Linked DNA regions of Oryctolagus cuniculus. The protein of the gene in region 1 interacts with the protein of each later gene in a biochemical or structural test. Links are inferred from orthologs where the notes say so. Each region holds a gene or a part of one and is shown in the gene's direction. Other genes may lie near its edges. The genes, in order: FYN, ENO1 and FASLG.

Evidence for each region.
Region 2: of the proteins of FYN (region 1) and ENO1, one has a biochemical effect on the other in vitro, tested with the Homo sapiens proteins (2 studies listed by BioGRID). The link is inferred for Oryctolagus cuniculus from reciprocal best matches to the Homo sapiens genes FYN and ENO1.
Region 3: the proteins of FYN (region 1) and FASLG form a complex in vitro, tested with the Homo sapiens proteins (4 studies listed by BioGRID and IntAct, with this or other methods). The link is inferred for Oryctolagus cuniculus from reciprocal best matches to the Homo sapiens genes FYN and FASLG.

What each region holds. Positions count from the first base shown.
Region 1 is NC_091436.1:59,897,217-59,900,862, forward strand, and holds part of FYN (tyrosine-protein kinase Fyn), read left to right. Parts: intron 1-1,349; coding exon 1,350-1,529; intron 1,530-3,646. UniProt on the Homo sapiens protein: Non-receptor tyrosine-protein kinase that plays a role in many biological processes including regulation of cell growth and survival, cell adhesion, integrin-mediated signaling, cytoskeletal remodeling, cell motility, immune response and axon guidance.
Region 2 is NC_091438.1:158,988,049-158,991,794, forward strand, and holds the start of ENO1 (alpha-enolase), read left to right. Parts: upstream 1-1,006; 5' UTR 1,007-1,173; intron 1,174-1,465; exon of another isoform or gene 1,466-1,633; intron 1,634-3,712; 5' UTR 3,713-3,721; coding exon 3,722-3,746. UniProt on the Homo sapiens protein: Glycolytic enzyme the catalyzes the conversion of 2-phosphoglycerate to phosphoenolpyruvate. In addition to glycolysis, involved in various processes such as growth control, hypoxia tolerance and allergic responses.
Region 3 is NC_091438.1:1,340,768-1,344,513, forward strand, and holds the start of FASLG (tumor necrosis factor ligand superfamily member 6), read left to right. Parts: upstream 1-938; 5' UTR 939-1,345; coding exon 1,346-1,705; intron 1,706-2,263; coding exon 2,264-2,312; intron 2,313-3,746. UniProt on the Homo sapiens protein: Cytokine that binds to TNFRSF6/FAS, a receptor that transduces the apoptotic signal into cells. Involved in cytotoxic T-cell-mediated apoptosis, natural killer cell-mediated apoptosis and in T-cell development.

The sequences.
Region 1 (3,646 bases):
TTAAAGCACTGTTCCTTTGTATGTATTTTTGTGAGTTCATATACTTTGTAATTATGTGAACCATTTTTATAGGATAACAAGAATTGCTCCAATTTACAGAATTTCTAAATTCTGTAATTAAATATGTAGAATATAAAATTTAATTTAAACCCATCTTTTTCAAATAGAAAATAACAATCTAAATTAGCAGATTTTTCTTTTCCCTTTAGAAAGCTGTTCTTCAAAGTCATAGGACTAATAGTGGGATACACTTAGAATTGAGTTTTATTTGTTTTGTTTTATTTGATTAGGGAGCTGAAATAGACTCATAAGGTAATCCAGGGTCACTCTTGTGTTTTACAGATGAGCTAACTGAGAACAGTCAGATCTAAAGCCAGGCCTGCCTGTGGGTCTGCTAGACTTTTTTTTTTTTTTTTTAAGATATATTTATTTATTTGAAAGAGCTACAGAGAAAGACTCTTTCATCTACTGGTTCATTCCCCAGATGGCTGGATCAGGCCAAAGCCAGGAACCAGGAGATCCATCTGGGTCTCCCACGTGGGTGGCAGGGTCCAAACACTTGAGCCATCTTGCACTGCTTTCCCAGGCACACTAGCAGAGGGCTGGGTTGGAAGTGGAGCAGCTGGGACACGAACCGGTGCCCAGTATGGGATGCTGGCACTGCAGGCAGCAGCTTAACCCTCCATGCCATAGTGCCAGCCCCTACTCGACTGTTTGTCGCATGGGAAGCTTAGCTATCTTTGCCCCTCCTAGCTCATGTAATTGTCCCAGTGTCCCTGCTAGAAGGCGTTGTTCTCTTGAGGCTGACCATCAGTAAACCGAGGTCTGCGCCTGACCTGGCTGAAGCACCGGCAAGCAGCCTGCCAGCTCCTTGCCCGTGCTCATCAGCACGCTTACGTCAACTGCTGAAGGACTCCGTCAGGTAACTCGCCCACTGCAGATGTCTGGAAGTCTAGAGGTAATCCCCAGGTATCCTCAGAGTGTGGCCATGGTTTTTAAAAATGGCACACTGCAAAAAATGGAGCGTACGTCATCTCATTTCTTCTGTTGGCCGGCCAGCTCCTGGACTTCCATCATTATAAAGAAGAGTCCAGAGCCTTTGGTATAATTTTGTGACATGTGACTGAGCCCAAAAAAGACAGTGCTATAAACTGAAATAAGGGGAAAAATGAAATGAATTATTAATCTGAATCTAGCCCTGGCCATACATGAACACAGTTTCCTCTTAACTACTTGACAGAGTCCTTGCAGTTGACTTTCGGAAACAAAAAGCACCTGATGGCTTTGAACTCTTCACACCCATCCAAAGAGGCCCTTTGGTTTGACTTAATCTTATGGGGTGTCTGTAGGTACCTGGAACGGAAACACAAAAGTAGCCATAAAGACTCTCAAGCCAGGCACGATGTCCCCAGAGTCGTTCCTCGAGGAAGCGCAGATCATGAAGAAGCTGAAACATGACAAGCTGGTGCAGCTGTACGCCGTGGTGTCCGAGGAGCCCATCTACATCGTCACCGAGTACATGAACAAAGGTTGGGCAGCACCTCTCCCAGCTCCCCCTCACGGGGACTCCAGGGCTTGAATCAGGGAGGGCAGGGGAGCTCCCGCTTGGCTTTCGTCCTGAATTTCTGTCAGAGTCGAGTATCCCCATCAGGAGGCGCTAGTCATGTGCTTATTGATGAAAATGTTTATAAGGCAGAATAACCCTGCGTTTGTCCCCCAGATCCTCATGAAATGCCATACATTTTGCATGTCGCATGTGTCAGGAATTCACCATAGTTAGAGCATTCACTTTTTATTACAAAAAAAAAAATCCATTTATTTTATTTGAAAGAGTTACAGAGACAGAGAGAATCTTCCATCAGCTGGTTCACTCCCTAAATGGCCACAATGGCCAGGACTGAGCCAAGCAAAGCCAGAGTCCAGAAGCTTCCTCCAGGTCTCCCATGTGGGTGGCAGGGGCTCAAGTGCTTGGGCTGTCCTCCGCTGATTTTCCCAGGTGCATTAGCAGGGAGCTGGATCAGAAGCGGAGCAGCCAGGTCTTGAACCAGCACCCATATGGGATGCCGGCATCACAGATGGCAGCTCTACCCACTGCGCCACAGTGTTCACCCCAGCGTTCACTTTTAATATCACAGCGCAGCAGGCTGTGATAGTCGCCTGTTGTTTTGAAAGCGGTAGCTTTTTTTTTTTTTTTTTTTTTTTTGAAAGTCAGAATTACAGAGAGAGAGGAGAGGCAGAGAGAGAGAGAGAGGTCTTCCATCCGCTGGTTCACTCCCCAAATGGCCTCAACGGCCGGAACTGCGCTAATCCGAAGCCAGGAGCGTCTTCCGGGTCTCCCATGCAAGTGTAGGGGCCCAAGGACTTGGGCCATCTTCCACTGCTTTGCCGGGCCAGCAGAGAGCTGGACAGGAAGTGAAGCAGCCCGGTCTCAAACCGACACTCATGGGATGCCGGCGCTTGAGGCCAGGGCATTAACCCATTGCACCACAGTGCCGGCCCCCAAAGCGGTGGCTTTTGTTCCATTCCCTTACTGCAGGCCTGCACCATATCCGGCACTGGTCTCTGGATTAAGTTGAATCTCGATCACTTCATTTTGCTTTTCTCTCCAGGCTTCCTCTTGAATATCCGATGAAGAAATGAGTTGCTTTAAAAGAGCACATTTTATTCTCATATTCTCACCCCCCCCAACACCCTCCCCCCCCCCCCCCCCCCCGTCATCCTAATCAAACCAGCATTGTTGGGGATGGGGCCAGAGATCACTTTGTTTTGGAAAAACAGATGAAGCAAACAAGAAACAGCCTTAAAAGGCAACGAACTGCTCCTCCAAGGAGCCCCGTGCAGTTCTTCTTTCCACACTCTTTTAAAAGGAATTTTTTCCTGGCAGATTGTTTGTCCTTTGTATCCAGGGTTATTTTGTAAATAATTTTGTGATTAAAGCATTTAAAAAAAAATCACTGATGACCATCGCGAGCCTCCAGCCTCTGCAAATGATTATTTGCACCTCCCCTCGGCGTGCGTAAGCGCTGAGCCGGCCGAGGCTGCGAGCCGCAGCTGCTTTGTTTCACGTGTCTGGTTTAGGGCTCGGCGGGCTGTGAGCTAATAAGGAGGAGGCGCCTGCCCCACCCATGGTTCCCAGACTTAAAAATCTGTCAACAAGCTAAGCTGGTGAATCTCAAACTTTACCTTGTGTTAGGTCCTTAACTATAGAGTTTCTGTGCAAGCCTGAGATGGAACCTGGGAGTGTGTGTTTTTAACAAGTTCCCGGGTGATGCTGTTAACTGCTGGCCCTGGTTTTCGGACCACCCAGCTGGGCCGTATTTCCTCCACCTCCTTCTCCTTTGTGCAGAGCTGATTGGGAGGTGAGCTAGAAGTGGTGCAGGTCCTCTCGCGTTCTCCTGATGACACAAAGGGAGATGGAGTTCCGTTGCTTCCACTTCTATTAAATCGCCGTTGTTGTCTTTAGAAATGGCATCAATGCTGCTCATTTCAAAAGCCTCCGCTTGCTTCCCAGCGCGTACAAGTTTTTCCACCGCTGTTTTTTCATGTAAGCCTTTTTGTGTGGATGGCAGTGTTCCATGCAACTGTCTTAATCATGCTTCTAATAAGAAAACCAAGTACAGGCCTCAGTTGGGATTTTTGTCATTTA
Region 2 (3,746 bases), on another chromosome or scaffold:
CGACTCGAGGTGAAGTGCTGGCCCCCGCCGCTGCGGGGGTTGCTGAGATCAACCTCTGCCTTTGATTTCCTGCTGGGTTCACTGGTTCTGGCTGTGTCTTTATCTCTCTCTAACCATTTTAATGTAAAGATTGTTTGGAGCCTGTTCAGGGCCACACCTCAGAATCGCTCTCGGGGTCTGATTTCTTCCAGTTCTGAAGCCTGGCCGAGCCTGCCCGTTCATCCTGCTGCTGAGTCATGGGTCTGGGATGCTGTTTTCAAACAGCCAAAAATGTCCGTGTCGTGCTGGGGAAATCTCAAACCCAACTCACAAAATTCACGTGATTCCCTAGCAAAATACGGTAAAGTCACCCCCTCCCTGGCCTCCTTGCTTTTGTTCCTGTCCACGTAAAGCAAACGCCGTGGACTCAGAAGATCCATCACCCAGGGCCGCAGGACCCATGCCAGTAACCCTGGCGATTAAACACACAACTAGGGGATGAGGCAGAAAAACAGTTTTTACAGCTGACCAGGAAAAAAATGGTAATTAAACTTCGGAACGTTTGAGCCTGTGCAGAATACGGAGCCCTGGGTCGTGGCTTCGGCTGCCAGCCTCAGGGGCAGGAAAAGCCAAAACTCAGGCCTCCCTGGGAGGCGGTGTGCATGATTTTTTTTTTAATCGCTGTGGGTTCTTCCTCGAGCAGAAAGGAAAAATCAATGCACCCACCCCTGCCTGTAGTTCAGCTGTCAGATCATCGTGGAAAATTATCCGAGGCGACCTGAGCAACGAAGCCAGGGGGCTTCGAGCCGGCCTCCCGGGGCCGGGCAGGGGGAGAGGAAGGGACAGGGACTCTTGTCCACAAAGCGCACGGACGCGGCTGCGGGATGAAGCGCGCGGCGACGCTTCCGGCACGCAGCCGGCAACTCCTCTCGGCCCCGGGCTCCCGCGCGCCCGCCGCAGCGAGGACAAAGGGGCCAGGGTCACCTTGGCCGGACGCACGCGGGAGTCCGGCGCGGGCGCGCGCACGCGGCGGCCTGGCCCGGGCGGCAGGGCCCGGGCGTGCGGGCACCCAACGTCTCGTCGCCGACGGGGTCTCCCGGGCCCTGGCGGCGGGGCGGGGAGCCGAGGTCGTCACCGAGGACGTGGGCCGGACGTGCGGCGCCGGAGGGACGCTGAGTGCGTGCGGGACTCGCAGTACGTGACGGAGGCCCGAGCCCTCATGCCCGCCGCGCCGTCCCCGCCCCGCCGCAGGCCGGCGGCTTCGCAGGCCGCTCCCGGCTAGTGTCCCCAGAAGGGGCCTCGCCCGCACCCTGACACTGCCGATGGGCAGTCGGGGTCCCCCGGGCCCGCCACCCCCCGCCCCCAGGCGGTCACCCCCTCCGCCGCCGCGGTGGCTGCGGCAGCAGCCCCACCCCTCCCCGGGAGGCGAGGGCCCGAGTGACGGCGCGCCCGGCCAACGGCGAGGCGGCGCGGAGGGGGCGGGCCCGGGAGGCGGGAAGTGGGCGGGCCCGCGGGGCTGGGCAGGAAGTCGGGGCGGGCCGCGAGGAGACTGGGTCGGGGCACTCGGGGCGCGCAGGTCTCACTCTCCGGACGCTCTCGTCGGTGTCTGCAGCACCCTCTGCGTCTTCCCTGAGCCACAAGGTCCGGCGGCCAGGTCAGGGTTCCGGGGCAGGCCTGCGGGGGTTTCAGAGCCCGCGCGGACTGGGCTTCCTGGCGCCGGCCGTGGCGCGGGGGTCGGCGGCCCCGCAGACCCCGAGGGGGCCGCGTGGCGTGGAGGCTGGGCGGGGGGCTCGGGCCGGGCTCTCCCGGGGGCGCCAGGCAGTGCCTGCGACTTCGGAGGCGAAGCCAGGTAACGGTACTTGGAGAGCCGGGCGCGGCCCACGCGGGCCCCTGGGGGCGGCGGGGGTGGCGGGGTTGCGGGACAGACGCGGGCCTCGCCGCGCGGCCTGTGGGCGCCGGCCCCTCCTAAAATGGAGGAAGGGGCCGCGGGTCCCCTCCCCCACCGGCGACCGCCGGGGCCTCCGCGTGCCCTGCGCGCCGCCGCTGGCACGTGGGGCGGCGGTGACCGGGCCAGCGGGCGACCTCGGCCGGCCTCCACCGCGCCGGGCCCCAGCCCAGCGCCCAGCCCCTGCAGGGTCGCGTTTCTCCGCGATGTGACGATGAGGCACGGTGTATTCGTGTCCAGAGATAAATTGCTTTTCATAATTCGGCGTCCGGCGCAGGCAGGGCCGGCGTGCGGGGTACCGGGGCGTTTTGCATCTGCAGACATCGTGGTGCCGCGGAAGTTATCCAGATACGTAATTTGCTAAAACTAAAAGTTACCTAAAATTTTAAAACTAGAAAATGAGTTTGAAACAGATTTGCCTTCTTGGGAACATACTAGATAAAATTTGGATACCTTTATCGTGACCGAGGAGTAAAACTCCGTTGTTGCACAGAAGTGGCTTCAGTTTCTAATTTTGAAGCTTAAAAGTAGTGATGCCATTTGCTGCTTCGGAACATTCCAGAGAAGGTGTCAGAGGGGCGGGAGATCATGGCGTCTGCACACTAACTCAGTTCCTGTCTTGCACTTGAGTTCTGCAAGTTGCTCAATTTGGAGAAGAAAAAAGGAGGGGCTTTCTTTGAGAATTGGTTTTGTTCTTTGTTGCTGCAAATCCACAAATTTTTTTAAGGTGTTTGCTAAGGCGGTATCTTCCCTTGAAGCACCCTAGTGTTCAAAGATAGATCTTTCCTCCATGCGCAGATTACAACATTTCATAGTTGCATTTTTTAAATTGAGGTAAAATGCCCTTTCTTTTTTTTATTTTTTATTTTTTTATTTTTTGACAGGCAGAGTGGACAGAGAGAGAAAGGTCTTCCCATTTGCCATTGGTTTACCCTCCAATGGCCGGCGCGGCCAGCGCGCCGCACTGATCTGATGGCGGGAGCCAGGTACTTCTGGTCTCCATGGGGTGCAGGGCCCAAGCACCTGGGCCATCCTCCACTGCACTCCCTGGCCACAGCAGAGAGCTGGCCTGGAAGAGGGGCAACCGGGACAGAATCCGGCGCCCCGACCCGGACTAGAACCCAGTGTGCCGGCGCTGCAAGGCAGAGGATTAGCCTAGTGAGCTGCGGCGCCGGCCCTAAAATACCCTTTCAAAGATACCCAGCTCAGAGGTCATTATGGGCGTCTCCTATCTTGCTAAAGACCCAAACACTGGAATTGAAGAGGCCCAGTAAGTGGTGGTAGCAAAGATCAACGCGCAAAGAGCTCAGTATCCCTCAGCCCTTCTGAGTGGGTGTCTGCCAACCCAGGCCCCTCAGATCTCATTTGATGAATCGGGCCCCATTGTGCTGGAAGCCAGACCGCCTCGCCTCCCGCTTTGGCCTTGTTCTAGATGGTTTGCCTGTGGCCTGCCTGCTCTTGGTGCTCCTCACTCCATGCCAGCCCTCCAACTCCAGGCCGTACGTGCCGTCAACGTGTTAATTCTCCAGTTGGATCAGATTTCCCCGAGGGGCACACGTTGTCAGGCTTTTGCTCATAGGCAAGACTTCAACCATAGAAGTGAAGGCCTCCAGGACGGGGCCCAGTCCGGGTTGGATGGAGCGATGCCTCCGGCCTCCCGCCCCTAAGCTGCCTTCCTGCAGCCAGCATTCAGGCCAGTGCAGATTCCGCCTGGTCCAGGAACCCTCGAGTGAATGAGCAAATGCTGTGTAGTGGTTTATGGGAAATAAAAACTGTGTTTCCCCGCAGAAATTCACCATGTCTGTGCTCAAGGTCCATGCCA
Region 3 (3,746 bases), on another chromosome or scaffold:
ATGCAATACAATTTTGAAATTCATTAATAGAGTTTTCATTGTACACATTTTCCATGAACTTCTTGAAAACCCCTTGTACATTTGGTATTGACGTGGTCCACGTGAGAGAGCCAGAACGACAGTCACAGAAATCTCACAGTGTGATGTAGAAACTAATGAAACTGAAAAGTAGACATCTTCAAAAGAACAGAAATTGAAGATTTGTGGAAATTTTATACAGTTTTTATGGGAGAATGATTAAGAGTGAGGCTGAGTACTTGGAAGTTATTGGCATATTAATGGTATTTGAGACCAAAAGAAAGGGTGAGGTCATAGCCCAGGCACAGTTGCCATCTTTAGCAAAAAACAAAGTTAAAAAAAGGACACCCTTTAAAATTTGAATTTCAGATAAACAATGAATAACATTTTAGTACAACTCTTGCATTGTTTAGGACATACATACCCTGAAGCTTATTTGTTGATCTGAAATTCAAGCAATTCTAGTAAACATAACAGCAGCTATGAACAGGGCTGCCTACAGGGGCCAGAAAGCCATTTCACAGGTGAGGTGGTGTGGGAAACACAGTACAGGGTGGAGGGACCTTGGGGGTGGAGGTTGGGCTACCTGGTCACCTGTGTCTCATTCCTGGGGACACTTGCTCCTCACCTCCAGCTGACTGAATTTGTGGAGATGGCCTTAAAAATATTTACAACAGAATGAAAATAGGTATTTTAATGTGGACTGTCTTGATTTTACAAATGAGAAACAAATCATCAAGAAGTAAAAACAGAGCTAGGCTGTGAGATCCACAAAGCATATCTGATCTAATCTCTAGAGTGGGCGGGGCAGGGTCTAATCTGTAAATTATGGTGATTTGCAGGGTTCGGGTAAACAGTGCTTGGTGTGGGGAAGGGATGCGGGAGGGGGATGATTTCCTCTTGCAAGTGACTCCAGTCTCCCCGCTCAGCGCCACTCTCCCTGCGCCAGCACTGCGCCCAGTGCTGCCCTGCTCTGCAGGCCCGAGGAAGGCGGTCACGGCTCCCTGCCTTTTCAGGTAGCGCAGCCACGGCAGCTGTGGCTCCGGGGGCTTTCATCAGAAAGTTGTGGGCGGAAACTTCCAGGGGTTGGCTCTGAGCTTCTTGAGGCTTCTCAGCTGCAGATATAAGGTGAGTGGGTGTCTCTCTGAGAACTAGCAAGAGAAGATGAGAGAGAGAGAGAGATTGATTGGTGTTTCCCTTGGTGTGGAAACTCTATAAAGCGAGAGCTGGCTGTTCCTCTCTTAACAGTGAGCAGCAGGAGTTCCTTCTTCGACATTGCAGCCTCCACAGGACTGAGAAGTAAAATCCTTGGGAGTCCCTGGCTGCCATGCAGCAGCCCTTCAGTTATCCATATCCCCAAATCTACTGGGTGGACAGCACTGCCAGCTCTCCCTGGGCCCCTCCAGGGTCAGTTCTCCCCTGTCCATCCTCTGTACCTGAAAGGCCTGGTCAAAGAAGGCCACCACCACCACTGCCACCGCCGCCGCCACCGCTACCACCACCACCACTGCCCCCGCTGCCCCCACTGCCCCCGCTGCCCCCACCACCCCTGAAGAAGAGGAAGGACCACAGCACAGGCCTCTGCCTCCTTCTGATGTTTTTCATGGTCCTGGTGGCCCTGGTTGGATTGGGGCTGGGGATGTTCCAGCTCTACCACCTGCAGAAGGAGTTGGCCGAGCTCAGAGAGGTAAGCTGTGTCCAGCAATCACTGGGGTGGGAGGAGGGCTCTGCTGCTGTGGGATGGAGCCTCCTGGGGTCTACCCGGACCACTGTCTTGCTTGCAAAGTGCTTTTCAAGCTTTACTGTTTGTCTTGGAAAGGGATTGTTCTTGTCGTTCTATTCTATAGGTAGAGAAATGGAGGGTCCTATGAATGAAGAGGTATTTTCTGTCTTGTAAAGAATTTGAGCCATATGGTTTTGCCTTTTTCAGTTGTCATGTCAGTCTGTGAAGCCACTGACCTCAGATCTAGTGATTCAAGAAATAAAAAAAAAACTTTGAGTCTGCTTAGAAGTGAATGTATTCAAATGACCAGACTGAATTTCCTTGAAAACATTTTAAAAAATCTGGTACCATTTCAAATGACAAAACTGAGGGACAATGAGACAAACTTGTTTGGCTAAAGTCTGAGTTAGGAAAGGTTCTGAGGAGTTTGGAATCTCTTTCGGGGGCTGGCTTATTTGGCAATTCCTCCACTGATTAAAGAGCTTCCTATTTATCATACATCTTTTCTCTTTCTTCCGGTAGTCCTTCAGTCAAAGGCACACAGCATCATCATCTATGGAGAAGCAAACAGGTGAGTCCTTTTATTCATGTGATTTGAATTTCCAAAGATAATCCTTAGCACTGAACATTGTTGGGGGGATACCTTGAATCCTATCCCATTCCTGGGCTTGTGAATATTATGAGAAGAGTCTTGGACAATTCTGAACCCCTGGTCAGTGTGGTTTCTTGAGCATCTTTTAAAATATGAAGTGAATTTCACTGCTCAAAATCAGTGTAGCTGAGTGTTTCACACAATGCAAAATACTTTTGACTTGACTTTGGGATGAGACACACATACATAATCCTGGAGCCCTGCCATTTGGGCAGCTGGTTGCAGGCCCATCTCCTTCCTCAGGAGTCCTAGTTAGGTATGGGCAAAGAGAGAAACTTCTGGGAAATGTCCTCTCCTCTTCTCAACTCCAGAAAAGAGATCACTCAAGAGTCAAGCTTCATTTAAGACATTGTACAAGATTTAGCTAAGCTTTTGATAAGTGGACAATTTCCCACATAGCATGGTTCCTTTGAAGTCATGGGGAGGCCTGGGAGAAGATTTAACCCATATTCAAAGGATTATTCCACTTTACCTATGAGATGTTTTTGACAATAAAGGAAAGTCCTTTGTATGAAATCCAGTACAAGAAAAAGGTAAAAGTGTTGAATTCTGGCTTCATTAAATTTCAGAGCATAGATTTAGACACTGTGGACAAGTATATTTTAGGATTTGCTCCATTTGTATTAAACCAAGATTAATTGACTTTTTAAACTTGGTTAGAACTGAGAGGGATCTTAAAGATCATCAGTTCCACCCATTTCATTTCTCAGAAGAGAAACAAAACATCAGACAGATTGGGTGATGTGCCCATGACTACTGGGTGGCGCTGGGGCTAGAAGGGATGTAGGCTCCTGCTGCCTTGGCACTTCCAGGACTTTCTAGCATGTGGACTGGTGCCTCATGGAAAGACAGAAACTCTTGCTTGACTGTAATTGCCAGGGGATGAGAAAGAAATGGAAAGCAGGACACTTCTGCAAAATCAGTAGGTAATTTTTTTCCTTAGAAATGTGGAAGAAGAGAGCAGGCAGGGCTAGCCATCCATTAAGTGCTGCCAGTTTCAATCTCAGGATAGCCTACTGCAGGTGGCCCAGGTCAGCGACTTCCCTGGAGCATAAACTCATGTAGGAGCCATCACTGAGATGCTCTGGCCCCTTGTTCTGATGTGGTAGAAACTCAGGAGGGGCACAGAGTGGAAACACTTTTTAGAAAAACGCAGCCTCTGGAGGACTTCTAATGTCACTTTGAAAATCAGGGGACTGTGGCTAGGGAAACAGGTACCTCATTACTCATCTCTCACCCACTCTCTGGAGGCGTTTTATTGGTTAAAAGTTAAATGAACAGATGAGTCAGGTCTACCTACCCCACTAAACTCTTATCTTCTCTGCATCAACCCAGACAGATCAGAAATTAGGG